7 linked regions of the Mus musculus genome follow. The protein of the gene in region 1 purifies or fractionates together with the protein of each later gene. This does not show direct contact. Links are inferred from orthologs where the notes say so. Each region holds a gene or a part of one and is shown in the gene's direction. Other genes may lie near its edges.

Region 1 (4,134 bases):
ACGTGGGGCTGTGGCTCTGGGCTTTTTGAGCGCCTGCCGATTGAAATCTTTACGTCTGGACAATGGGAGATCGGCTAAAATTACCCTCTCGGGTCCTGGGCAGGCAAGATTCTTGAACCCCTACCCCCGCCCCCAGCCCATTCTCCCACAGCCTGGGCTTGCTTGGTGCCGGCTCCTCGGGTTCGGCGGGCCTTCTCTCCGCCTGCACCTGCACCTCTGGACCCCGCGCGCTTCCCAGGCCCCGGCGCCTCTCGGCCGGGCCTTCGTGACTACCACCGTGCCTGTCAGCAGGGGCAATGCCGGCTGCGCTGCCCCATCCTGAGAACGCTGCGTGGGAGGGAGTTTGTGAGCGCAGCCCAAATGCCACCTCCGCGCCTCGCGGTGGGATGCCAGGAAGTTGCGTGACCCTCCCCCCATCCCCTGCACTCGGGAGCTTCTTTCCGTTGATGCTTTCGTCCCCAAGGTTTCCTCTGAAACTGCCACCACTAAAAATCCTCTTGTGTCAGGGTTGGGAGTTAGAAAGAGCGGGAGCAGAGTTCCAGCTTTGCCTTTGCACCCTTTGGATGGGGCAGGTTGGTGGAGTAGGGAATTAGGGGTTGAGGACACGTGCTGCGGTTCCTTGAGCCACACCTGAGTCGGCCTAGGAAAAGGCTGGGAACAAGGCCTGGTCCTAGCTCTGCTCTACAGTCAGCTACATGGGCAGAGGACTCGTGTTTGGGAACCGAGCCGATGACACGGAAGCCAGGAGGGCGCTGAGGCCCGAGGCTTGGGTCTAACTTCTCGTCTGTACGGTGAGAAGAGGGGGTGAGTGGGTGCTGGCGACAAGGTTGGAAGAGGGGCTGCGACAGAGCGCAGTGCCGCGGATGAGCGCAGAAACAATGGCACACCACCTCCGGCTCTGCCAGCTTCCTGAAATACTAGTTGGACAGTCGCCCTGAACCACCCATGGGCCTTGCCCCACCCTGGCCCCAGCTTCCCGCGCCCCATCCACCCTTATGTATCCAAGAGAGAGCCAATATTCCGTAGCATGGGGGAAAGGAGCTGTCGTCTTGGTGCTGTTTACCCACTTCCTTCGAACAGGCGTGCGCCGTGACCTGTTGCTGAAAACGGGGGGCGGGGGGGGGGGATACAAAGGTTCCCCAGCGGCCGGCTGCGGGCCCGCCTCCCCCGCGCGGTTCGGGGCACAGCGCTCTGCTGGGCTCGGCTCGGCGGCGCGGCAGGCCCCGCCCCCTTTCATGCAAAACCCTCTGGCGAGGCTGGGCTCGGGCGCAGGAGCCGGCGCTCGCTGATTGGCCGCCGGAAACCCATTTATTCCCTGACAGCCCCCATCACATGGATGGTTGTCTATTAACTTGTTCAAAAAAGTATCAGGAGTTGTCAAGGCAGAGAAGAGAGTGTTTGCAAAAAGGGAAAAGTACTTTGCTGCCTCTTTAAGACTAGGGCTGGGAGAAAGAAGAGGAGAGAGAAAGAAAGGAGAGAAGTTTGGAGCCCGAGGCTTAAGCCTTTCCAAAAACTAATCACAACAATCGCGGCGGCCCGAGGAGGAGAGCGCCTGTTTTTTCATCCCAATTGCACTTCGCCCGTCTCGAGCTCCGCTTCCCCCCAACTATTCTCCGCCAGATCTCCGCGCAGGGCCGTGCACGCCGAGGCCCCCGCCCGCGGCCCCTGCATCCCGGCCCCCGAGCGCGGCCCCCACAGTCCCGGCCGGGCCGAGGGTTGGCGGCCGCCGGCGGGCCGCGCCCGCCCAGCGCCCGCATGTATAACATGATGGAGACGGAGCTGAAGCCGCCGGGCCCGCAGCAAGCTTCGGGGGGCGGCGGCGGAGGAGGCAACGCCACGGCGGCGGCGACCGGCGGCAACCAGAAGAACAGCCCGGACCGCGTCAAGAGGCCCATGAACGCCTTCATGGTATGGTCCCGGGGGCAGCGGCGTAAGATGGCCCAGGAGAACCCCAAGATGCACAACTCGGAGATCAGCAAGCGCCTGGGCGCGGAGTGGAAACTTTTGTCCGAGACCGAGAAGCGGCCGTTCATCGACGAGGCCAAGCGGCTGCGCGCTCTGCACATGAAGGAGCACCCGGATTATAAATACCGGCCGCGGCGGAAAACCAAGACGCTCATGAAGAAGGATAAGTACACGCTTCCCGGAGGCTTGCTGGCCCCCGGCGGGAACAGCATGGCGAGCGGGGTTGGGGTGGGCGCCGGCCTGGGTGCGGGCGTGAACCAGCGCATGGACAGCTACGCGCACATGAACGGCTGGAGCAACGGCAGCTACAGCATGATGCAGGAGCAGCTGGGCTACCCGCAGCACCCGGGCCTCAACGCTCACGGCGCGGCACAGATGCAACCGATGCACCGCTACGACGTCAGCGCCCTGCAGTACAACTCCATGACCAGCTCGCAGACCTACATGAACGGCTCGCCCACCTACAGCATGTCCTACTCGCAGCAGGGCACCCCCGGTATGGCGCTGGGCTCCATGGGCTCTGTGGTCAAGTCCGAGGCCAGCTCCAGCCCCCCCGTGGTTACCTCTTCCTCCCACTCCAGGGCGCCCTGCCAGGCCGGGGACCTCCGGGACATGATCAGCATGTACCTCCCCGGCGCCGAGGTGCCGGAGCCCGCTGCGCCCAGTAGACTGCACATGGCCCAGCACTACCAGAGCGGCCCGGTGCCCGGCACGGCCATTAACGGCACACTGCCCCTGTCGCACATGTGAGGGCTGGACTGCGAACTGGAGAAGGGGAGAGATTTTCAAAGAGATACAAGGGAATTGGGAGGGGTGCAAAAAGAGGAGAGTAGGAAAAATCTGATAATGCTCAAAAGGAAAAAAAATCTCCGCAGCGAAACGACAGCTGCGGAAAAAAACCACCAATCCCATCCAAATTAACGCAAAAACCGTGATGCCGACTAGAAAACTTTTATGAGAGATCTTGGGACTTCTTTTTGGGGGACTATTTTTGTACAGAGAAAACCTGAGGGCGGCGGGGAGGGCGGGGGAATCGGACCATGTATAGATCTGGAGGAAAAAAACTACGCAAAACTTTTTTTTAAAGTTCTAGTGGTACGTTAGGCGCTTCGCAGGGAGTTCGCAAAAGTCTTTACCAGTAATATTTAGAGCTAGACTCCGGGCGATGAAAAAAAAGTTTTAATATTTGCAAGCAACTTTTGTACAGTATTTATCGAGATAAACATGGCAATCAAATGTCCATTGTTTATAAGCTGAGAATTTGCCAATATTTTTCGAGGAAAGGGTTCTTGCTGGGTTTTGATTCTGCAGCTTAAATTTAGGACCGTTACAAACAAGGAAGGAGTTTATTCGGATTTGAACATTTTAGTTTTAAAATTGTACAAAAGGAAAACATGAGAGCAAGTACTGGCAAGACCGTTTTCGTGGTCTTGTTTAAGGCAAACGTTCTAGATTGTACTAAATTTTTAACTTACTGTTAAAGGCAAAAAAAAAATGTCCATGCAGGTTGATATCGTTGGTAATTTATAATAGCTTTTGTTCAATCCTACCCTTTCATTTTGTTCACATAAAAAATATGGAATTACTGTGTTTGAAATATTTTCTTATGGTTTGTAATATTTCTGTAAATTGTGATATTTTAAGGTTTTTCCCCCCTTTTATTTTCCGTAGTTGTATTTTAAAAGATTCGGCTCTGTTATTGGAATCAGGCTGCCGAGAATCCATGTATATATTTGAACTAATACCATCCTTATAACAGCTACATTTTCAACTTAAGTTTTTACTCCATTATGCACAGTTTGAGATAAATAAATTTTTGAAATATGGACACTGAAATTATGCCTGAGTCTTTCATTTCTTTGTGGCTAGCATGCTTATACATAACTTCTTGGGGAACTGGATAACTGTTCAGCCACCAAGATCTTGATGTTACCAGCAATGTCTGTTAGCTTTAACTGCAGAAGAAAAAAATGGCCGAATGATTAATAACGGGGAACTGAAATGCGTTGACATTTCTAGAATAGAAACTAGAAGCATATATTGTAAGTTCACCCCCCTCCTTCCCTGAGCAGCGTGAATAAGCGCGATGTGGGCTTAAGCTCGCTTTAGCACTTGTTGCCAGAACGAGTCAATTCTGAAAATTTTCGTGTAGCTTAGCAGATGAGATAC
Region 2 (4,273 bases), on another chromosome or scaffold:
ACGTGGTTTTTTTTTTTTTTTTTAAGATAGGCTTATTGGGGTTGGAAATTCCAAGACACTGCCCCCCAAAGCTCAGTCATTAAGAATAGCTCTTTTAATGGGATATTTAAATTGGCATACTCTGGAGTATGGGTAAGTCTCATGTGTGTGTTTAATTAAATTGTGCTTTTAGCTCGATTACAGCTCTTGAATAGTGCTGTTTCCCAAAGTCCTCCTCCAGCAGAGCTCTAGTGTCCCTTCCGAACCTTCTATTATGGTTTGGTCACGATGAACTCTTGAAAAGTGTTGAAATGTGAAAAAGGTTTTTGCAGGAATCTACTAGTCCAGGACTGTCAGATGGAGTTCCTTGGAGAAATTCAATGGTAACAAAAGAATACATGGAATAGTGAATACTTTGAAATCTAGGGTTGAGGTGGGGTGGGGTGGGTTAATCTGGTTTCTCCTTGATTGAAACCCCATGGGAGCCTTAAGAGATAGACTGCGATACTGTAGCACTTGGCCCTAGATGAAGTGTTTTCTTTAAATCTCTACCTTGCAGGGAAGGAACTGCTGTCTTTACCTGAAGAGAAGTGGAGAACTGAAATGCCTCAGCCGAGGAGAAAGCCTAATTTTCTCTGCCAGATTCCAGCACCTGTCTGCTAACTGCAACCATTAGGCCCCAGGGGTGACAGTACAGAAACACAAAAGTATCTGTTGTGTTTAGGACACTATGTGGGTAGAACGCCAAACTCAGAATTTTGTAGATGACTCTCATCTCTAATAAACTGTGTCTGCCTTATGCTGTTCACTTTTTTTTTAAAGAAGGAAACATTTGAGGAGGTCTTAGCTTTTTTTTTCAACTGAAAAAGGCCATTTTAGTGTGAAGTGTAATCATGACACTCAGGTTTATGAATCTTTAGTATTTAGGGGTAAAATCTATAATCCAAACCAAAATATGCATTTGTAGCTAGTCTTGTATAAGACTTCTTTTAAAACAATTTGTTTTTTCCATGTGTGCGTGTGGTTTGCCTGCATGTATATCTGTGCACCACAGACATACCAGCGCCTATGGAGTCAGAAGAGGTCGTTGGAGCTCCTGTATGTGGGTGCTGGGAACCGAACCCAGGTCCTTGGCAAGAGCAGCAAGTCATCCTAACTGCTGAACTCCTCCAGCCCCCTTGTACAGGTTTTCTTAAGAAAATGATGGACTGTCCAAATCGATAGCTGCCCCGAGAATGTAAAAACTTCGACCTCTTAGCTGATTGCTAAGGTCTACAAAAATCTTCAGCCCTCAAAGAAAGTGGTCAACTTGTCCTCAGCTACCGGTGCTCGCTGGCGGGTTCGTAGAGCATCCACCCGCAGAGATGGAGCTGCCATAGTCCTCTCATCCAAAGGCCCCGTCCCCGAGGACCCCCATCTCTGCCCCCCCAGGCAGCCCGCGCTCCCTCCGCAGGTGGCCGCGCCGGAGCCCCGCCCCCACTCACTCCCCAAGTCGCGGGGCCTCGTCCGCTCTCGCGAGATCCCGGCCGCCGAGCGCTCGGGGCCTTTTCAAATCGCGATCCGTTACCGCTTCTCCGGCCGCCGCCATTGTAGCGCTCGGAGCCCTCATCGCGGCCGAGGCGGAGCCCGCGGCGGGATGGCCGATGCCGACAAGTCCGAGGCGGCCGCGGGTGACGACGGCTCGCAGCAGCAACCGGCTGAGCCGCGGCGAGACACGCACCCCGGCGAGCCCGAGAAACCGCCGCGCAGCAGCGCCAACGGCGTTAAAATGTATTGTCTCCCCCGGGCGGCCGGGCGGGAGGGCGGCCGGGCAGGGCGGGAGGCGCGGGCGGCCCCGGGGCGGGAGCAGGTGCGGTGCTGGCGGCCCCGGCCTCGGGCGCGCGGAAAAACGGTCCCCTTTAAAAGGCCCGAGGCTAGCCTCATCCTCGGGGAGGACCCAGGGATGACATCATCGGTCCTTTCCCCTCCCGGCCCGGTTCCGAGCCCCGGTGAGGGCCGCGTGTGCGGTGGTGGCTTCCAAAGTGTTAGAGCTCACCGAACCCATTGTGTTCCTCTTGATTGGCTTTCGAAAAAGGAGGACTTGGTCTCCTCCACCCACCCGGTGATGGTTGTGGGCCGTGCAGGCTGGTTTATTTATTCATTTTTTTAAAAACACAAACTCAGTGTGTAGTGGCCTTCATTTTACTATAATTCACTTACGATATAATTAAATTACTGAAATATAAATCTGAATTTGGCAAAACTGGGAACGCAACCCAGGGCCTCGTGCAGTCTCCAGGCAGGCGCTAGGCCACAAAATGACACCCCCCCTCCACCGAATGCAGTGCTTTTTTTGTAGAAGAAAACCCGAGGGCTGAAGGTTGGATCTGTCATCTGTGTCTGTAGAGAATTTAGTCGACGTTAATCCATAAGATCTTAAGTTGTAAGGCAGTAGGATAGGGGCAGATTGTGCTCGGCTGTCCTTGTCACGTGGGGCTATGTGAAGGCAAACATTTATTTTCCTATGGCTTATTCTGTAAAAACTGAAGTTGAAAATAATGCCAGTAATTTGTTAAAACACCCTCCACCTCTCCATCCTGCCACGGTAGAAAGCAGTGAACACATGCTTTCTGACATGAAGTCAGAAAAGGGAAAATGTCTTTCTGGCTTTTGTGTGGAAATACTTGAGGCAGTGATTTGGACCAGTCTGTTGAAACCGGCTGAATTGAATTGGTTGCAAACTAGATGGGGTAGTGCTCCTCAGCTTCTCTATGACAGTCTCGCTCTTAGGGTGACATCATTGTATATTTTTTCTTAACCACTGACAACGTATTTAAGAGGAATTACCCCAGTTCCCTGGGGCCTATCCTGAGCTTTAGAAGTTCAGTGTTTGCTGTTTTCCTGATGCCTATATTCATTTTTGAAATGATATATGATATATGTGGAGAGGCACTTTAAGAGCGTTCCATTAGACAGAGCCTGTTGTGTTACCTTTGAATTGGCTAGGAATACCTTAAATATGGACATTCGTCTCCCTACCCACCTGGTGACTTTTGAACAGGAAGCATCGTGTGAGCAGAACAGAATTTTGCAGGTATCAGATTTGCAGGGCTTGAAAGTCAGTGCAGTTTGCTCATGGATGGAGAGTGTGCATGCATCAACCACCGAGAAATCAGAAAGCAAGGAAAGCCTATCTCTTATGCCTGTCAGATCTTGGGCTTTTTCAGAGATTTGCTATTAAAAATAGAAAAAAAAAGTGGAGTGACTGTAACAATATAGTCACCCTCTGTGTCTTTGGATTCTGTATTCATGGAGTTAATGGTGAATTGGAAATACCCACATTGTATCTATATGGAAAGTAAGCATACATGATACACGCGTTGTTTTAGGTATTATAAGTAAGGCAGAGAGTGAAGTGTGTGTGAGATTGTGCTACGTCCCATGCACACACTGTGTTTTGGGAAAGGGCTAGAGTATCTGGACTCTAGCTGTGGGGTGCAATGGGGCTGAGGGGTACAGGGTTGTATTACTAATGTGTACCTAGTAGTGAGGGTGCCACTGTTTGTTTTTTTTTTTTTCCTGAAGAAAATAATCATTGAATCTTATAATGTTGGTATTTGTGAAGCTGGTATCTAAACTTCTATTAGACCCAAAAATACAGTGTCTACAGTTGCATTGCAGGATGGGAAAAGAGGTGAGAAAGAACCATTTTCTAATTTAAGGAGAGAAAATATAGGGCAATTGTTAACAGTAAATACAGATTGTTTCCTTATTCTAATTCATTCTTTCCATATTTTCTCAGTGTTGAGTAGAGACCAATGTACTCTAAGGAATTTCTTACACCTCTGCTGGGCCAGCGTAGGTAGTCACAGTGAATACTTAGGGACTTGAATCTTCTGTGAGTCTACAGTGTGACAACCTGTGGGGTGGTTGACACTTTGGGCTGATTACCATGCTTTCAATGATAAGTCATTAAAAGAAATTTGATAACCAGACATTGCTTTACAACATCCACTGCTTCGAAGTGAGCCATGTGCTGCTATTGGGACTGGAACACCTTGTATTAATGCAGTCACAGCAGACAGAGGGGGCTGTCCTTTTCATCCTGTCACCTTAAATGTTAAAGGTTCACTGAGTATCCATTGAAGAAATAGAGGAAGACATTTTGAGATCCTGAGACTCATGGAAAAGATTTAGTTGGCTTGTTCATCTCTAGACAGGAATTAAAGATCCTGTTTTCTCTGTCTACACTGAAGTGTTTTGGAAGGAAAGCAGTAACTATTTTGTGACTCTTCATTAGTCTTGTATGATTACA
Region 3 (3,500 bases), on another chromosome or scaffold:
AAGTTAATATGTGCCCCATGTCTTGTCACTTTCAAGGAATCTAAATAGGCAGAGGACAGTAGCAGATCCCATGCCAGAGGCGTTCAGCGGAGTGGGGAAGCCGTTTATTCCCATTATACTGAGCAGATAATTATTTGGATACATTCCACACATAGGTTATATGCAGAGGAACCCCCAGATGCCCCAGTACACTTCCCCTCAGCCTGGCTCGGCCTTATCCCCACGTCAGCCGTCTGGAGGACAGATGCACTCGGGCGTGGGCTCCTACCAGCAGAACTCCATGGGGAGCTACGGCCCCCAGGGCAGTCAGTATGGCCCACAAGGTAAGTGTGCTACCCCTTTAGAAGGAAAGAGAGGTACTGTGTTAACGGCTGGGTTAAAAGAGTAGGGCATCCTTCCTTACATCTCCCCAGCCGAGGCCCTAGGGAGGAGTGGGGCAACGAATGGTTCATCGTGTCTTCACTCCATTCTGTCACCTTGTATGGGCCATTGATGGGCCAGCACAGGTGCTTATTAGATACAGGCGCTGTGCCATGACTGGATGTGCCTTGATCATGCATGCATGCACATAACACACAAATTAAGAAAATTTTCGGTGGGAGGCAGGGAAAATACGTAGAAAGGAAAGAATTCTATTGAATGCTGAAAGGCCTAGATAGTAACTCTGCCATCATTCTCTGTGCTGGGCAGTCAGGGATTGTGGCTCAGTAATGAACAAAGCCCTGGGATTCAGTGCTCAGCAAACCCCACCCCAAACTGGGGATGGGGCTAGAGATGTTTTCCTCCCTTAATGATGGATTTGTTCATTTTCATGACCCAGATATTGATGGATTCTAATTGTTTGGAGTTTTAAGAATTGTAGTTCTGGGACTTGCTAACCAAGGCTTGTGTTGTTTCCTCCCCACCTCTCCCCAGGAGGCTATCCTAGGCAGCCTAACTATAATGCCTTGCCCAACGCCAACTACCCCAATGCAGGCATGGCCGGAAGTATGAACCCTATGGGTGCTGGAGGTCAGATGCATGGGCAGCCTGGAATCCCACCTTACGGCACACTCCCTCCAGGGAGAATGGCTCATGCGTCTATGGGCAACAGGCCCTATGGCCCTAATATGGCCAATATGCCACCTCAGGTTGGGTCAGGGATGTGTCCTCCACCAGGGGGAATGAACAGGAAAACTCAAGAGTCTGCTGTTGCCATGCATGTTGCTGCCAACTCTATCCAAAACAGGTAAGGCCTGGGAGTGAAGAGAGGGTTCTGGTGTACAAGCGCATGCATGCAACGGAACTTGTATGTTATTGAAAGTTCTTCTAAGCACTGTGTTTTCTTTTTAACACACAGTTTAAACACATGCACAAATGTGCTGGTTCTTCAGGGTGCTAATAAAAATTGATATGACGAAGTATCCTGTGTACAGAACTTAAGCTAGGTGTGGTACTTTGTGCCTGTAGGCTACTTAGGAGTCTGGGCAGGAAAGAGTAATGGGAAAGCGACTACTGGAGGCTTATAGGCTCTGCCATAAAGCGATCCTTTAAGTAGAAACATAGCAACTTTAGGTGTTGCCTATGGGAAAGTGGTGTTTATAAAACATCATAAGACCTTATTCTTCAAGGGTTATTCCCCATCAGACTAAGCTAGTGCTTGCTTTACAGAGTTCAGGCCTTCCTTGAACCTTTGTGGCAAATAGATGTGTGGCCTCGGTTAGATTTGTGAGACTTAAAACTTTTTCTATTCTTATTAGACAATTAATTCTACTTTTTTTTTTTCCTCCTCATTCCCAAATGTAGAGGTTCACTGTGTCTCTAACCTTCTCTTTAATGTTCATCTTCTTCCTTAGGCCACCAGGCTACCCAAATATGAATCAAGGGGGCATGATGGGAACTGGACCTCCCTATGGACAGGGGATCAATAGTATGGCTGGCATGATCAACCCTCAGGGACCCCCATATCCTATGGGTGGAACCATGGCCAACAATTCAGCAGGTCAGTGTAATTGAGTGCTCATCACAGGAGTTTCTTCAAGAAAGATCTTCAAGCGGTAGTAAAATCTACTGGACCTGAACTGGTATCTTTTTACAGGGATGGCAGCCAGCCCAGAGATGATGGGCCTTGGGGATGTTAAGTTAACTCCCGCCACAAAAATGAACAACAAGGCAGATGGAACACCCAAGACAGAATCCAAATCTAAGGTTTTTATCTTTTGCCCTTTCAATTTTGTATCTTATCCCCTTTGCTGAATGATACAAGGAAAATTGAGAGCCAGGGAGTGGTGGCATGTCCCTTTAGTTCAGTACTCAGTAGGCAGAGGCAGGTGGATCTCTTGAGTTCAAAGCCAGCCTAGCCTAGTCAATAGAGCAGGTTCAGGGACAGCCAGAACTTCACAGAGAAATCCTGTCAGGAAACACAGGGTGCTAGAAGAATAAATGAAAGAGAATGACAAGGTTTTAGCATGTTATGGTGCTGGTACCCACAAAGGCTTCCATTGCCTCAGTATGTCACTCCCATTGGGCTCTGTAGTATACACTCCTCTGTGAGACTTGGCCTCTGACGCATATGCACTGATGATGAATACTGTAGGCAGCTAGCTGCCCCTCTCTTCCTAGACTTTACTCAGAGCAGCAAGAATGTTTGGTACTACAATTCTACAAGCAGAATAGTGACGCAGGTGGGGGTTGGGGTCTTAACCTCCCTGTAGGTTAGATCTAGATGTGTTGGAGTTACAGGGATTTATGAAGCCACCTGATTGGAAGCCAGCCACCTCTAAACAGCTATCATGTTTACCTGATGATCCCCTGCTTGATTGGTTTGGTTTGGTGTGTTGGGGAGTCAGTGGGTTGAGACAGGGTCTCACTAGGTAGCTCTGGATGACGTAGAACTCACTATATAGACCTGGTTGGCCTTGAACTCACAGAGATCTAGCTGCCTCTCTGCCCCCTCTATTTGCTGGGATTAAAGATGTGTGCTGCCACACCCAGTCCACATCTACATTTTAAAAATGCAAAGCTGCAGGGAACATAGAGGGGATAGCACACTCCCATAGTCCACTCCTCAGGAGCTAGGGGCGGACAAGGCTCTTTGGAGACCAGCCTAGTGTATAGAGTGAGTTCTAGCACAGGCAGGGCTACACAGAGAAACCCTGGCTCAAAAAAACAAAACAAAGTTAGGGTCTATTGAGATGGTTCTGTGGTTAGGAACACTGGTTGCTCATCCAGAGGATCTGAGTCCACTTGCCAGGCCCACATGGCAGCCCACAGTGTCTGTAACTCCAGCTCTGGGGGGCTCCATTGTTCACGTGCCCTCTTCTGCTCATGTAAGCACCAGACATATGTGTACTTAAGATCAAAACAGTCCTTGGCATGAAGTAATTTTTAAATTTTAGCATGAAAAGGACAACTGTGAAATAAAAACAATCACACAATTAATCAACGCTAAAGTCTGCGTATCTCATGAACTTCTGTGCAGTTAGAACCACCGTACCGAAACTGCAGCTTGGCAGCGGATT
Region 4 (3,500 bases), on another chromosome or scaffold:
GGAAGGGCTGTGGTCTTGAACCTGCCATCCTAAGAAGGGAGGCGGAAAGCCTGACTTCCTGTAAGAGCTGGGGCTCGATGGGGCACCAACCTAATTTCTGTTCTTTTCTCCCCAGTGTCTGTCCCTAGTCGTACTCCAGCTGCAGCTCCAGCCTCTACCCCAGCACAGAGAGCCGTCCCAGGGAAGCCCCGGGGAGAAGGCACAGAGCCTAGGGGGGCTCGCACTGGACCCCAAGAGCTTGGCAAGATCCTGCAAGGGGTGGTGGTGGTGCTCAGTGGCTTCCAGAACCCCTTCCGCTCAGAGCTCCGGGACAAGGCCCTGGAACTGGGGGCCAAGTATCGGCCAGACTGGACCCCAGACAGCACACATCTCATGTAGGCCTCTGACCTGCCACACGGTTCCCTGCCCTGCCCTGCCCTACCCTGCATGCCCCCGCTAGCTTCATCTGTCCCTGTTCTGCTATCCTCCCTCCCTGCTTCTTTGTGCCCTCCAGCCCCCACTTCTTTACCCCCTTAGTTCTCAGCTTTCTGCGTCCCTCCCTAAGCTCCATCTCTGTTCTGTCTCAGCTGTCCATCAGATCATGTCTGACATTCCTGTTTTGCATCTCCCAGCTGTGCCTTTGCCAACACTCCCAAATACAGCCAGGTCCTGGGCCTTGGAGGCCGGATTGTGCGTAAAGAGTGGGTGCTGGACTGTCACCACATGCGGCGCCGGCTGCCCTCCCGGAGGTGAGGCCCCACGACCTGCCTCTTAGGCAGCGCACACACCTGCCTCTTAGCCCAGAGCAGGCAATGAAGAGCCTGGGGCCTGCTGGGTAGCTCAGGCGATCTCAAACCAACATAAGCCGTTTTCAAAGACGGGCTGGGCCTGCAGATGGGAAGTCACTAGCCTGGGTGGGCCACTGGATTTTGTAATGACGGCTGCTTTGTGCACATTGTGGGTTGTGGCTGTGCAGAGGTGGAAGGGAGCCTCAGGGCTGTATGCCATTCCTCAGAACTGATCCTTTGGCATCCTTTGGGTGCCAGGCAGAGCTGTGACTGAAGTGAGGACGCTGGGGTTGAGCCCTGTGCTCACTTCAGCGAGTGGGTCAGAAGTGTTAGAGCCCAGCTTTGAGGAGCTCAGGAGGGGCACAGTGATCGCGGGATGAGAAGCATGGGTAGCAGCCAGGCAGAGGGCATGCAGGGCTGCAGAGCAAGCAGGGATGGGCAGCATGAGCATCCATCTCCTGACGCAGTGGGCGGGAGAAGAACCACTGGCTGCCAACAGCAGGAGCTGTGGAGCTGGAGAGAAGCCGACTCCGATCCCAGTGAGGTCGTGGCTTGAGTCTGTTTAATAAGCAGGGCTAACCCTGGCACATTCATGTCGGGGACTGTGAGGGGAGGTGGGTGGGTTGGTCAGTTGATCTGGAAGTGGTGGGGACTCCACATCCTGCTTGGATTCCACAGATCCCTGGGAGCTAGTTATCTAGCTTCAGTATTGTGATCATCCTGAACAGATGTGCGGAGGGTGTCTGTGGGCGCCTTTATTCTCTGAGGTGTGTAAGGATAGTTAGCTAGTGTGCCACAGTAGGGACTTGAATCTAGGACACACACACACACAGTACCAAGAATCAAAAATCTTAGGATGGTTGAAAATGAAGAGATGGCTCAGTGGTTAAGAGCATTGGTTGTTCTTTTAGAAGACCTTGACTCAGTTTCCAGCACTCACATAGCAACTCTCAACCATCTGTAACTGCAGTCTCAGAGTGATTGATGACTTCTGGCTGTTATAGGCACCAAGCACACACATATGATGCATAGACATATGTGCAGGCAAAGCATTCATACGTGTAAAATAAAAAAGTTAGTCTTTAAATATATACAAGTTGCTTATATAAAATGCTAGAGTATTTACATAAAAACTGCATAGAATCTTTTCATACATTTAAAAAAGATTATTATTTAAATTATGTGTATGTGTATCTGTGCGGTGGTGCACATGTGTGTTCAGGTACGTGAGGAGACCAGTTGTGTCAAATCCCCTATAGCTAGAGTTACAGGCAGTTGTGAGCACCTGATGTGGGTCCTGGGGAACCAGATTTGGATCCTTTGAACAGTATAAGCTCTAAACATTGAGCCGTCTCTCCAGCCTCACGTACTGTGAGTGTGGATGTCTAAGAACTGAACCCAAGGCTTCCCACATGCTAAGCCACACCCCCAGCCCCTCACTGGGGGTTCTAGTCAGGGCTCTACCACCGTGCTGTATATCCCTAGCCTTTTTGGTTTTGATTTGGAGTGTAGGAGGGTCTTACTAAGTTGTTCAGTCTGGACTTCAATTCACTCTGTTCCCAGGCCATCCTGCCTCTCAGCCTCTTGAGTAGTTGAGATTAGAGACCTGCTCACTAGGCCAGTGTGCTCTTACATGTTTTTGGGTTTTTTGTTTTTTGTTTTTGTTTGTTTTGTTTTTCGAGACAGGGTTTCTCTGTATAGCCCTGGTTGTCCTGGAACTCACTCTGTAGACTAGGCTGGCCTCGAACTCAGAAATCCGCCTGCCTCTGCCTCCCGAGTGCTGGGATTAAAGGTGTGCACCACCGCCCGGCGCTCTTCCATGTTTTGAATCATTCTGTGGTTTGAATCCAGCACTATGTAAATGCCATGTAAATCTTTAGGGAATGACGAGCAAACGGAGTCTGAATGTTGAGTGCAGACACAGACTTTCTGGTCTGTGATTGGTTGGGTGTACAGATGCAGAGACCCCAGATGTGGGGTTCCACCTGAATTTGCATTTGAGACTTTCCCCCATTGCTTGGCATTCTCCTTTGATCCTCAAAGAGTAGACCCCCCCCCCCCATTGCTCTTTCTTGCCTTAAATGGAACAGATCTTCCCCATGAGGGAAAGAGCCTGGGGTGGCTGAACTGCCTGGCACGTAGTGGAGCCCCTCTAGGGCTGGGAGGGGTCAGAGGGCAGCAGGATTCCTTCTCTATCCCCACCTCCCTCTACTTCTCAGTCCTCTGCCTGAGGCCCAGTTCCTCCCCTAGGTACCTCATGGCAGGCCTTGGATCCAGCAGTGAGGACGAAGGGGACTCTCACAGTGAGAGCGGCGAAGACGAAGCTCCCAAGCTTCCCCAAAAGGTCTGATGCCCCTATGGGGCCAGGAGGGAATACTGGGTGCCAACCAGGTCTGCTGAATACCTCAGCTTCCTGCTTCTCCCCGCTGCTGGCTGTCCAGAGCCTCACACTGCCCCAACCTCACCTAGCCCTTCTTCCTCAGCGGCCCCAGCCCAAAGCCAAGACCCAGGCAGCAGGACCCAGCTCACCCCCGAGGCCACCAACCCCAAAAGAGACCAAAGCACCGTCACCAGGACCCCAGGACAATAGTGACACTGAGGGGGAAGAGTCAGGTTAGAATCTGAGGGAGAGGTCTACACGCTTTATGTCTGAGGGAGGAGGAGGGCTAGGGCCTTGAGCCCTGGGTTTGGGGGCAGGGCTGGTGTCTAGCTTTCTGGGTCTGAGGGGGAGGG
Region 5 (3,994 bases), on another chromosome or scaffold:
CCTCCACCCGGATGCAACAGTGTTTGCCTGTGCCACTCCCAGGCTTTAAGTAAAGCCTTGATGGGCACCGCTGCCAAGAGACACAACGTGCTTCGTGCGGACAGCAGCGCTGACTACACAGACAACCGTTTCTACAAGTGGCCCCGATCTTGCTACCTCCACCTCGGATCCTCCTCCTCCTGGTCCACCGGGCAGCACCTGCAACTTCCGAACAAGGCAGGCTGCCCACCGCGTGCAGCACACCCTCCTCGCCTCGAGGCCAGCCGCAGGACCCCCGGCACCGTCCGACCCGGCCCCAGGACTCACCCCTCGTGGCCCGTAGGCCAGGATACCAAGCGAAACCCACCTGCTGTAGGTACTGGTTAATGGTGATGTGCGCCATAGCGGCGGCCGCGGGTGTTGAGTGCCTCACTTCCGGCGCAGGTCCGTTTCCGCTCCTTGTCCCCACACGGTAACCTCTGCACGTTGGTTCCGGAGCGGGTGAAGGTGGAGCGAGCCGAGCCGAGCCGAGCCGAGCCGGTGGTGAGAGCACTTCTTTGGGGGCAGCTGTCAGCGCGGTCGCCGGGACGCCTCGGGTGCGGCGGGGGCGCGCGCGAGGGCGGAGGACTGACGTGGAGGAGTTCCCAACCGACTTGGGAACGTGTCCCTGGTCACGTCGGTGTGCTAGCGACCCGATTCCTCGCACCCCTCTCCCATGAGGGTGACCCGATCCCCAACCCTCCGTGTGCAGAGGCGCTCCTGACTCTCCCGGAACCAAAGTCCAGAGCCCACTGGGAAGGCGTCCCGCGCACTCCTAGGATGTGTTCCTGAGTCCTCCCACATCTCACACTGGGGCACCCCAGATAAATGGGTGCAGAGCATCCCGTCCCCAACCCCTCGGCGCGCTAGCGCACGGAGCAGCATCCCTGAGCATCCTAGGTGTAAGGTGATCCAGGAGGCAAGGTTGCCGGGTGCTTTTATCCACTCAAGTCCTCGCCGGGGTGTCCTCGTCACGGCCCTCGACGTGACGTGGGGCGGCGAGCTCCGGAGCCCTCGGTGCAGGTGTCACGGCGCCCTCTCGCGAGCATTCGTTGTAGAACGCCTGCGAGTCCCCGAGCCCTCCTTGGGCGGAGTTCGCGCATAGGAGGAGGAGCCGGATCGTTCCGGTGCGCGCCGCGGCGGTTGGGCCTCGGGCGCGCGGACCCGGCCGCGAGCAGAAAGAGGAGGAGCCGAGCGCTCACGGGCGGAGCCCGACAGCAGCAGGAGGAGGAGCCGGGCGCGCACGGAGCGGGCGCAGGGCAGGAGGAGGAGCCGGGCGGCGCGGGGCGGGGCGGCGTCCGGCCCAGCCATGGCGGACGAGGGCCCTCGGAAGGGCAGCGTCTCGGCTCTCATGGGCCGCACCAACGGCCTCACCAAGCCCGCGGCGTTGGCCGGTGGCCCCGCCAAGCCGGGGGGCACGGGAGGCTCCAGGAAGCTGGTCATCAAGAACTTCCGAGGTGGGTGCGCTCCGGTGAGGAGCGAACGGGGCGGCCGGCGGGTCGCGCGCTCGGACAGGGCCTCCTGGGGCTGCCCGGCAGGCCCTGTCCCCGCGCCCCGGCCCGCCTGGTTCCCGCACTGTCCCGTCTCGGCGCCGCAACCCGACTTGTCCCTGCACCTCACGCTCCGCCACGTCCCCGCGCCCCAGCTGGCCCCGATCCCGCACCTCCTGGCTAGCCCGGCCGGGCCCTGCCTCGGTGCCCCGGCCTGTGCTGTCCCCGCGCGGCCGTTGACCCTCTCTCCCCCACAGACAGGCCGCGGCTGCCTGACAACTACACTCAGGACACGTGGCGGAAGCTTCACGAAGCGGTCAAGGCCATCCAGAGCAGCACATCCATCAGGTACAACCTGGAGGAGCTGTACCAGGTGAGCGGCGGCGAGGGCCTGCGAGCACCTGGCTGGGTTCCTCCTCCAGCAGCCACCGGGGCCAACGCTAGGGAGGCCCGCCCGTCCGCCCGCCCGCCCGGGGAGAAGCTGCGGCCCGAGCCTTCCCTAGCGGAAGCCGCGAAACCCTGGGTCAGCAGGTGTTTCTATGGATCGCCGCCCTGGATTAGTGCTGTGTGTTGAGGCTTAGACCAGGCTGCTTAGGAGGTGTACGTTTTCCCAGCGCCAGAAGAAAGGAGGTGTTTGGAGCTAAGAGGCACAGAGCCCCCAGCAGTCTTCAGTGTTATCAGAGTGCCAGTGTGTTATACATGGAACTCAGTACGGCCCCACTTGCTAGTAGGGTCCCTGGGTTGTGACACACACACCCCCTCCCCAACACACACACACTGTTTTGTAGTTTAATTATTGCAAATAAGGTTGCAGACAGATTCTGGTAGGGTTTTTGTTTTGTTTTGTTTTGTTTTTTTTTGAGACAGGGTTTCTCTGTGTTGCTCTGGCTGTCCTGGAACTCACTCTGTAGACCAGGCTGGCCTTGAACTCAGAACTCCACCTGCCTCTGCCTCCCGAGTGCTGGGATTAAAGGTGTGCGCCACCACGCCCGGCGATTCTGGTAGTTTTAACTTAAAGACAAGTTGTGTCTGCAACAGGGGGGGAAAATCATCCGAAGTACATTTTGCTGTTTCAAGCACACTTTTCTGTCATGGTTTTATACAATAACTGCTAAATATTCTGTGTTTTAGTTTGTGATAGAACAAATAATTACTTATATGTTACTTAAAAGTTACCTAAGAGGCTTGTTTTATCCTGGTTACAAACTGAGTGTATTGTAAGTTACAGAAAGCACAAGAAGAAAAGTAAGCAGTGGTACCCGAAGGAACCTGTGGCAGGCCCATCACTCCCAACCCCAAACTCCCAAATCCAAAACTTGTAGTGCACTCATGAAAAAAAGACCCACACCTGACTTCCTCTGCTGGGCCTCAGACAGAACACAGTATATGCTAAAACTGTTGAATAAAATGACCATCGAGCTAGGGCCAGCCAGATGACCCAGTAGGTAAAGCGCTGGCAGAGCCAGCTTGACAACTTGTGTTCGAACCTCAGAACCCTCAAAAAGGTGGAAGGAGAAAACTGACTGGAGACGCATCCCCAGACCTCCAGCCTCTTGACGTGACACAAGCACCCACACATACACTTGGTGTACACACACAATGATAAAACAAGGGATATGGGGTACGAGTCAGCTTTGTGTCTGTTTACACTTGATTCTCAGTACCCAGATACATCATTGTGTATGTGCAAGTATTAATCCGGAAGAAAAACATCTGAAATCCACAACACTAGTAGCCCCAAGCATTCTGGGTAAGGGACCACTGGCCGATGGTGACGGATTGGTGTATATGTGTCTGTTCTTTGTCTTAAGTTTGTGAGTTGATTGTGTATTGAAGGAGAGGATTTTATTTAAGGTTTTGTTTTTGTTTTGTTTAGACAGGGCTCACTGTGTAGCCTTGGCTATTCTAGAACTCACTGTGAACAGTCTGACTTACAGAGATCTTCCTGCCTCTGTCTCTTGGTGCTGGAATTAACATTATGCACTACTACACCCGCCTAAAGATTTGCTTTTATTTTTATTATTTTAAGTATGTGCCTATGTGTAGGTGTGCATATGAATACAGTGTTGGGGGCATGTGACATGTGCTCCAGTAGGTTTATTTTGTTTATTTTATTTTTTTATGAGAAGAGAGAGTCGGTTGGTTTTATTTTTTACGAGATTCACTGTGGGGCTGGAGAGATGGCTCAGCAGTTAAGAATGCTCTTACAGAGGTCCTGAGTTCAATTCCCAGCAACTACATGGTGACTCACAACCATCTGTCATGGGATCTGATGCCTCCTTCTGGTATGTGTGAAGACTGGGACAGTGTACCTTATAACTATGGGGAAAAAAAAAGGTCTCACTGGGTATTAGTCCCGGCTGCCGCTCATGTGCCGGGGCTATAGGTTAACTCTAACATACTTGTCCCAGTAGATTTTAATGGCCTAAGATAGAGTTGTTTGCCAGCCGCTCAGTGAAAATGTAGACTGTTTCCCTCCCCGGTAA
Region 6 (3,500 bases), on another chromosome or scaffold:
TCTCACTTTGCTAGAATGAGATGACTGCAGAAGAGAAGCGAAGAGCACATCAGAAGGAACTGGCAGCACAGCTCAACGAGGAAGCGAAGAGGAGGCTGACAGAGCAGAAAGGGGAACAGCAGATTCAGAAGTAGGAGTCCACACTGAGCAAGGTGATAGTCTAGAGATGATGTGACCGTAGGGATTTCTCAATTGTCTTTTTGCTTTATTTTTAACCCCACTCCAGAGCTCGAAAATCTAATGTGTCCTATAAAAACCCATCTCTGATGCCTAAGGAACCACATATTCGGGAGATGAAGATCTATATTGATAAGAAATATGAGACTGTGATAATGCCTGTGTTTGGCATTGCCACACCCTTCCATATTGCCACAATCAAGGTACCAGTATTCAAGTATCCAAGGTTCTAGTGTGTCTGCCTAATTCTCTGATCTTCTCTTACCTTGACCTTTCACACTCCAGTGTGCTGATTGTCTGCTTTCTCCTTTATCTCCCACTGTTGTTTTCCTTCCCTTTCAGTTTTCACTTTGTAGGAAGCTAAATTAGACCAGAAAAGGAATCCATTTACCAGTTGGGGGGTGGGGGGTTATTGTTGTTGTTTTGTGCTGTATATGTTTGAGTGTATTTGTGTGTGTGTGTGTGTGTGTGTGTGTGTGTGTGTCCCTGGGGGTATAAGATGCATGTGCCATATGTCAGTGTCTGGTGTCTTAAGTTCATAGATAGCTTGTGTGCGCTCTCTCTCTCTCTCTCTCTCTCTCTCTCTCTCTCTCTTGCAACCCTGTTTTTTGAGGCAGGATCTTTTATTGACACTTGAGCCCAATGATTAGCTAGAGTGGCTGGCCACCAAGCTCTGGAAATCCCTGTCTCTGCCCACCATTAACCCTAGGATTATAGACATGCACACCTCACTTGGATTTTATGTGGGTGTTAGGGCCCCAAACTTGGTTCCTTGTGTTTGTGCAGCAAACACTTTGCCATCTGAGCCATCTCTCAAGCCCCTATCATGTGTGTGTCTTTCCTTGAATTTGTAACTATTATTTAATCCTAAATTGTATTCCTGTCACAAGATACTTTTATAGCTAGGTGATTTTTTTTTTTTTTTTTTGGAAACACTTTCTTAATTATGTGAAAAACACTGCTGAATATTTCTATCTCGATTTTGGTTCAGTTTTATAGGTTCAGCTGAAGGAACAGCAAACTCTGGCCTTTTTCTTCTGCAGCTAGGAATTGAACCAGGCCCTTGCCCACTCTAGATAAATGCTTTGCCACTGAGCTTTGTTCTTAGTCCCTCATACTCCTAACTGCTAACTTCATTTTAGCATCTTTATAATCTAGTAACAAAGCTAACTTTCCTCTCTTTCTTTGAACAGAACATAAGTATGTCTGTCGAAGGAGACTATACTTACTTGCGAATCAACTTCTATTGTCCAGGCAGTGCTCTGGGCAGGAATGAGGGCAACATCTTTCCTAACCCTGAAGCCACTTTTGTCAAGGAAATGTGAGTCCCTGGGAAACAAACGTCTCCAACCTGTGCTAGTGGTGCAATGACCTCACATGTCCATTCCCTGCTACATCCTTTCACAAGAACCCACTGCAAAGCCTTCCTTGGTGGCATTTGTTTAGGATTACATTGCTGACTTTGTAATGTTTTAAGTATGGATCCTAATTTATATTTCTCATATGGCTATTTTATATCACACTACACATTTTGCAATTGAATCCTCAGGCAAAAAAAAAACAAAACATCTGTGGGCCAACTGTGGCAACACACAGCATAGCTTGAAGTTCACATTTAAGAGACTGAGGCAAAAAGTTTACAAATTCAATGCATCCTGGTCTACAAAATTAATTCCAGGCAACCCTGAACTATAGCGAGAACTATCTCAAAATAGAAACAAAAAAAGAAGAAAGAAAATGTTATGTTGCATTGAATTCTCTTCCATCATGGAGTGGTATAGAATATTGGGAGATACTGTATAAAATTTGAAAAAATAAAAGTGTAGTTTCCCTACTCCAGGGAATTAGCTATTGATATTTTCCACTTAAAAGAAAAATATATTTTTTTCTGATTTCCTACCATTCCCATATTTAGTGGTGGTTTTTCTTTTAAAAACATGTTAAGCCATCTGGGCATGGTAGCCCTTAGGAGGTGAAACAGGAGGATTGGGAGTTTAAGGCCAGCCTTTGAACATAGCAAGGTCAAAGCCCGTTTGCACTACATATGATGTCTTTTAAAAGATAGACTTGGAAAAAATTGGTAAAGTGCTTATCATATAAGCTTGAGGACTGAAGTTCAGGGCTCCAAGACCCACATTAAAATACATAAATATAGGTGCAGTAGATTACATTTGTAGTCCCAGCATTGGGGAGGTAGAGACAGGGAGAGGACCCTTGGAATTTGCTAACCAGTCCATCTAGATAGATCTGAGAGAGAGCGTCTCCTAAAACAGGGCAAAAGTTACTAAGAAAAACATTCAATGTTGACTTCTGGCCTCTACACAAACACATGGCACATACACACAATAGAGAAATTAAGCCACTTAAAAACTGTAATGATGGGTTTGGGTTTCCTAGCCTGATAAACATCTATACAAATGTTCTTCTACAGTACATACCGAGCTTCAAATATGAAAGCACCTGGAGAGCAGACTGTACCCGCCTTAAATCTTCAGAATGCGTTCCGAATTATAAAAGAAGTACAAAAACGTTACAAGACCAGAGAAGCTGAAGAGAAAGAAAAAGAGGTGAGTCTGAACACAACTAGGCACCTTTGTACAGACAGGTCTTTGGAAGTTGGTATGAAGGCTCCATGCACACACTGTTTTGTGACCCTTAGGGCATTGTAAAACAAGACTCGCTGGTGATCAACCTAAACCGGAGTAATCCAAAACTGAAAGACCTGTACATTCGTCCAAACATTGCCCAGAAGAGAATGCAGGGCTCACTGGAGGCTCATGTCAATGGTATGTACGGACGCCCTCTCCTGTGCTGGACTGTAGCTTCCCAGAGTAGAACATGCTACAGTGATGGAAGGAAGCAGGGGACAAGATGACCAGAACACATGGGGACTTGATAAATGGTGTCTCTCTGACCTTGTTCAAGCCTAAGATGACACTGCTTAACACTTGGTGACCCTGTTGTTTGCCACAGGTTTCCGATTCACATCTGTTCGAGGAGACAAGGTGGATATTCTGTACAATAATATCAAGCATGCGCTGTTCCAGCCCTGTGATGGCGAGATGATTATTGTTTTGCACTTTCACCTCAAGGTACACACTTCTGCCTAAGCTAGCGTGATTCAGAGCTCTCGGCAAAAACTGAATTTTTCTAACTTATTTTAAAAAACTATATTCGGTAAAGAGGTTTTTAAAAACATGATTATAAAGTACAGTAGGCTAGTGACTTTGATTACAGTTGCATACAGGGGTATGGTTAAAGTTATTTGCAGGAATCAGGGTACCTGTTAAGCGACTACACCACGAAAGGAAATGTCTCTATCT
Region 7 (3,500 bases), about 54 Mb from region 1:
GATACAGATATTTTCATATAATGACCATGTCTTCTTTAAGCAGCATTGTTCACCATGCAGAGTACCTTCAAAAACACCTCCTTCCTTTCTCCTTTTTGGTGGTGGTGGGATTTCATTTTGTTTTTTTTTTGAGACAGGGTTTCTCTGTGTAGCCCTGGCTGTCCTGGAACTCACTTTGTAGACCAAGCTGGCCTCAGAAATCTGCCTACCTCTGCCTCCCAAGTGTTGGGATTAAAGGCATGCGCCACCACTGCCCAGCTTTGTTTTTTTTGTTTTTTTTTTTAGATTTATTTATTATAATTAAGTACACTGTAGCTGTCTTCAGACACTCCAGAAGAGGGCATCAGATCTCATTACAGGTGGTTGTGAGCCACCATGTGGTTGCTGGGATTTGAACTTCGGACCTTCGGAAGAGCAGTCGGGTGCTCTTACCCACTGAGCCATCTCACCAGCCCCCTTTTTTTTTTTTTTAAAGACTGTTTTTTTGTGTAGCCCTAGCTGTTCTGGGACTTATTCTGTAACAGAGACCAGGCCAGCCTCAGAGATCCTCCTGCCTCCTGAGAGCTGGGATTACAGATTTATGTCTCTATGCCCTGACCATCCATTCCTTTTCATTGTTAATTCACCCATCACTGCCTCCTCTTCCCCATCCCTCAACTCTTAGTCCACACTTAAACCTTTAACTCCCCATATTCCATCCTTTTACACCATGTGTTCCGTTATGTGCTCCCTCATTACGGACTCTCTTTTCCGCTGTTTTAATCAGGGTCTCTTTAGATTCTTTTTTTTTTTTAATTAGGTATTTTCCTCATTTACATTTCCAATGCTTTCCCAAAAGTCCCTCATACCCTCTCCCCTCCCTTTAGATTCTTAAGGGGCAGATTGAAGCAGGGTATTTCTATGTGTACTCCTGACTGGTCAACCAGGTCGACCTCAAATCTGTAGGGATCATGCTGCCTCTGACTCTGGAGTGCTAAGATTTAAAGATGTGTTCTACCATGCTTAGATCTTTGTTGGGGTGTGTGGGATATGTGTGGATGTGGGTGTGCATGGGTGGGTGGGTGTACCCGCATATGTGGGTATGAGTGCAAGTATCTGAGAAAACCAGAAATGTGACTCCGCTGGAGCTAGAGTTAACACAATGTACACAGGTCCTCTAGAAGAACAGCTAGTGCTCTTAATTGTTTAGTTATATCCCCATCCCCCACCTTTAGATTTATTTTTATGAATTCTAAAACGTGGCGTTTAGGTGCAGGTTGTATTGAATCCAGGACTTTATGTGTGTGTTAGCCAAGCACTGTACCACCAAGTTGCACCTCCAGTCGCAGAAGTTGTTGTTTTGAGACGTGGGCAGGTTGACCTGGAACTTAGTATATAGCACTGAAGATAGCCTTGAACTTTTCATCCTCCCAAGTGCTAGAATCATAGGCATTTACCACACTTGAATTTTGCAGTGCTTTGGGGTTGAACCTGGGACTGTTTTTCTCAAAACTGGGATCCATATTTCTCAGGCTAAAACTCCTGACTCTCTTGTATCCCTGGCTACTTTTTTTTTTTAAAATCAGGCAGTAATTGCCTATCTAGAACACTTATCTTAAAGACTTATTTATTTATTTATTTATTTTCTATGAGTGCACTGTAATTGTCTTCAGACACACAAGGAGAGGGCATTAGATACCATTACAAATAGTTGTGAGCCACTATGTGGTTGCTGGGAATTTAACTCAGGACCTCTAGAATAGCAGTTAGTGCTCTTAACTGCTGAGCCATCTCTCCAGCCCCCTAGAACACTTACCTTAGATGATGCTTTTGGAAGCTGTTGCCTCTTCCCTAAAATCTGTTTGGCCATGTAAAATGTTTTAGGAATTTTAGCAGTATTTGAAAGTTTAGCAAGATGTCTTGTCACTTTAACCACCTCATTCTGCCTCTTGGCGTGTTCTTGGCATGCTCTTATGCTCTTTGAGGCTTACATGAGTGACTGTGTTAAATGTTTTATGTTCACTGTTTTCTGGCTTTCTTTTTCCAGTACTCCTGTTGATGTCAATAACCGTGAGATGATGTTGAGCATCATCAATAGCTCTATTACTACAAAAGTCATCAGTCGGTGGTCCTCCTTGGCATGCAACATTGCACTGGATGCTGTTAAGACTGTGCAGTTTGAAGAGAATGGCAGAAAGGAAATTGACATCAAAAAATATGCAAGGGTAGAAAAGGTAAGCTTGTCCAGTATGTGCTTGAGAGTTAGGTGTCTGGCATGGTCATTCCTATTCAGAGTAGGGTGTCCTTATTTACTTAGAACTAGACAGAAGAACTGGACTACCTTAGAGCCTGGAAACAATAACCTAAGAGTATCAAGGAGAATTCCTGATACCATTTTTGGTTGCCTTTACTACCTTCCATACACAAGGTTTACAAGGGTAAGGAAAGACACTGATGTGTCCATATCTATGCCTGTGGGTACTAGCCACTGGTGAGTATATCAGTTTTATAAGTGCTGAGGTTGGTGAAATGGCCTAGCGGCTAAGAGTGCCTACTGTTCATGTAGAGGGCCCACATTTGATTACCAGCACCCTTGTGGTGTCTTACAGCCATCCATAACTCCAGTTCCAGAAAACCTGATTCCCTCTTTTGACCTCTGAGGTCACCAGGTACACATGTATTACACATACATGTAGGCAAACCACCTTGTTGGTCAGGGTTCTCTAGAGAACAGAACTGGTGAATATTAAAGAGAGCCTTTATTAGAGTGACTATTCCAACAGTGGCTGTCACCTGACAGAAAAGTGAGATTCTGGTAGGGGCTGAAGATATGGCTCAGTGGTTAAGAGCACTGACTACTCTTCTAGAGGTTCTGAGTTCAAATCCCAGCAACCACATAGTGACTCAACCATCTATAATGGGATCCAATGCCCTATTCTGGTGTGTCTGAATAGAGCCACAGTGTACTCATATTTTATTTGTTTTTTAAAGACTCTGGTACTCCTCCTGTACTCTAGGCTGGTTGTCTGACCTGGTCTTCAATCTACTTGGAATCCCAAAGAAGTAGATGCTAATGCCTCATCAGCAAAACAGTTTTTGCAAAAAATGAGTTTGCCAGAGAATGAGAGCAGGCAAACAGCAAGTGTCCTTGTCCTGTGTCCTTTTATATGGGCTGCCACCAGAAGGTGTGGCCCAGACTTAAAGTGCGCTCCTTTCTGACCTCATGATCCCATCAAGAAAAATCTTTCACAGGTCTGCTAGTTGCTTGGGTTTTAGTGAATTCCAGGTGTCAGTTGACAACCAAGATTGGCCATTACATACTCATTATAATAAAATTTGCTTGGGCAGTGGTGTCACACACCTTTAATCCCAGCACACCAGGCAGAAACAGAAAGGTCTCTGTGAGGTGGTTTTTTGTTTTTTGGGTTTTTTTTTTTTGAGACAGGGTTTCTGTGTAGCCCAGGCTGTCCTGGAACTTACTTTGTAGACCAGGCTGGCCTCGAACTCAAATCCGCCTGCCT

The links.
Region 2: the proteins of Sox2 (region 1) and Myef2 purify together in Homo sapiens (affinity purification with mass spectrometry; 3 studies listed by BioGRID and IntAct, with this or other methods). This does not show direct contact. The link is inferred for Mus musculus from reciprocal best matches to the Homo sapiens genes SOX2 and MYEF2.
Region 3: the proteins of Sox2 (region 1) and Arid1a purify together in Homo sapiens (affinity purification with mass spectrometry; 3 studies listed by BioGRID and IntAct, with this or other methods). This does not show direct contact. The link is inferred for Mus musculus from reciprocal best matches to the Homo sapiens genes SOX2 and ARID1A.
Region 4: the proteins of Sox2 (region 1) and Xrcc1 purify together in Homo sapiens (affinity purification with mass spectrometry; 3 studies listed by BioGRID and IntAct, with this or other methods). This does not show direct contact. The link is inferred for Mus musculus from reciprocal best matches to the Homo sapiens genes SOX2 and XRCC1.
Region 5: the proteins of Sox2 (region 1) and Cul4a purify together in Homo sapiens (affinity purification with western blotting; 3 studies listed by BioGRID, with this or other methods). This does not show direct contact. The link is inferred for Mus musculus from reciprocal best matches to the Homo sapiens genes SOX2 and CUL4A.
Region 6: the proteins of Sox2 (region 1) and Supt16 purify together in Homo sapiens (affinity purification with mass spectrometry; 3 studies listed by BioGRID and IntAct, with this or other methods). This does not show direct contact. The link is inferred for Mus musculus from reciprocal best matches to the Homo sapiens genes SOX2 and SUPT16H.
Region 7: the proteins of Sox2 (region 1) and Cct3 purify together in Homo sapiens (affinity purification with mass spectrometry; 3 studies listed by BioGRID and IntAct, with this or other methods). This does not show direct contact. The link is inferred for Mus musculus from reciprocal best matches to the Homo sapiens genes SOX2 and CCT3.

Annotation. Positions count from the first base shown.
Region 1 is NC_000069.6:34,648,661-34,652,794, forward strand, and holds Sox2 (transcription factor SOX-2), read left to right. Parts: upstream 1-1,334; 5' UTR 1,335-1,755; coding exon 1,756-2,715; 3' UTR 2,716-3,801; downstream 3,802-4,134. UniProt on the Homo sapiens protein: Transcription factor that forms a trimeric complex with OCT4 on DNA and controls the expression of a number of genes involved in embryonic development such as YES1, FGF4, UTF1 and ZFP206. Binds to the proximal enhancer region of NANOG.
Region 2 is NC_000068.7:125,120,861-125,125,133, reverse strand, and holds the start of Myef2 (myelin expression factor 2), read left to right. Parts: upstream 1-1,473; 5' UTR 1,474-1,615; coding exon 1,616-1,749; intron 1,750-4,273. UniProt on the Homo sapiens protein: Transcriptional repressor of the myelin basic protein gene (MBP). Binds to the proximal MB1 element 5'-TTGTCC-3' of the MBP promoter. Its binding to MB1 and function are inhibited by PURA.
Region 3 is NC_000070.6:133,691,486-133,694,985, reverse strand, and holds part of Arid1a (AT-rich interactive domain-containing protein 1A), read left to right. Parts: intron 1-155; coding exon 156-323; intron 324-915; coding exon 916-1,228; intron 1,229-1,835; coding exon 1,836-1,981; intron 1,982-2,077; coding exon 2,078-2,187; intron 2,188-3,500. UniProt on the Homo sapiens protein: Involved in transcriptional activation and repression of select genes by chromatin remodeling (alteration of DNA-nucleosome topology).
Region 4 is NC_000073.6:24,567,199-24,570,698, forward strand, and holds part of Xrcc1 (DNA repair protein XRCC1), read left to right. Parts: intron 1-115; coding exon 116-374; intron 375-611; coding exon 612-728; intron 729-3,017; coding exon 3,018-3,111; intron 3,112-3,250; coding exon 3,251-3,380; intron 3,381-3,500. UniProt on the Homo sapiens protein: Scaffold protein involved in DNA single-strand break repair by mediating the assembly of DNA break repair protein complexes. Negatively regulates ADP-ribosyltransferase activity of PARP1 during base-excision repair in order to prevent excessive PARP1 activity.
Region 5 is NC_000074.6:13,104,429-13,108,422, forward strand, and holds the start of Cul4a (cullin-4A), read left to right. Parts: upstream 1-1,194; 5' UTR 1,195-1,327; coding exon 1,328-1,475; intron 1,476-1,765; coding exon 1,766-1,881; intron 1,882-3,994. Other genes in the region: Pcid2 (PCI domain-containing protein 2), read right to left, coding at 347-382. UniProt on the Homo sapiens protein: Core component of multiple cullin-RING-based E3 ubiquitin-protein ligase complexes which mediate the ubiquitination of target proteins. As a scaffold protein may contribute to catalysis through positioning of the substrate and the ubiquitin-conjugating enzyme.
Region 6 is NC_000080.6:52,173,240-52,176,739, reverse strand, and holds part of Supt16 (FACT complex subunit SPT16), read left to right. Parts: intron 1-14; coding exon 15-130; intron 131-226; coding exon 227-380; intron 381-1,370; coding exon 1,371-1,498; intron 1,499-2,608; coding exon 2,609-2,744; intron 2,745-2,836; coding exon 2,837-2,963; intron 2,964-3,150; coding exon 3,151-3,269; intron 3,270-3,500. UniProt on the Homo sapiens protein: Component of the FACT complex, a general chromatin factor that acts to reorganize nucleosomes. The FACT complex is involved in multiple processes that require DNA as a template such as mRNA elongation, DNA replication and DNA repair.
Region 7 is NC_000069.6:88,307,135-88,310,634, forward strand, and holds part of Cct3 (T-complex protein 1 subunit gamma), read left to right. Parts: intron 1-2,026; coding exon 2,027-2,213; intron 2,214-3,500. UniProt on the Homo sapiens protein: Component of the chaperonin-containing T-complex (TRiC), a molecular chaperone complex that assists the folding of actin, tubulin and other proteins upon ATP hydrolysis.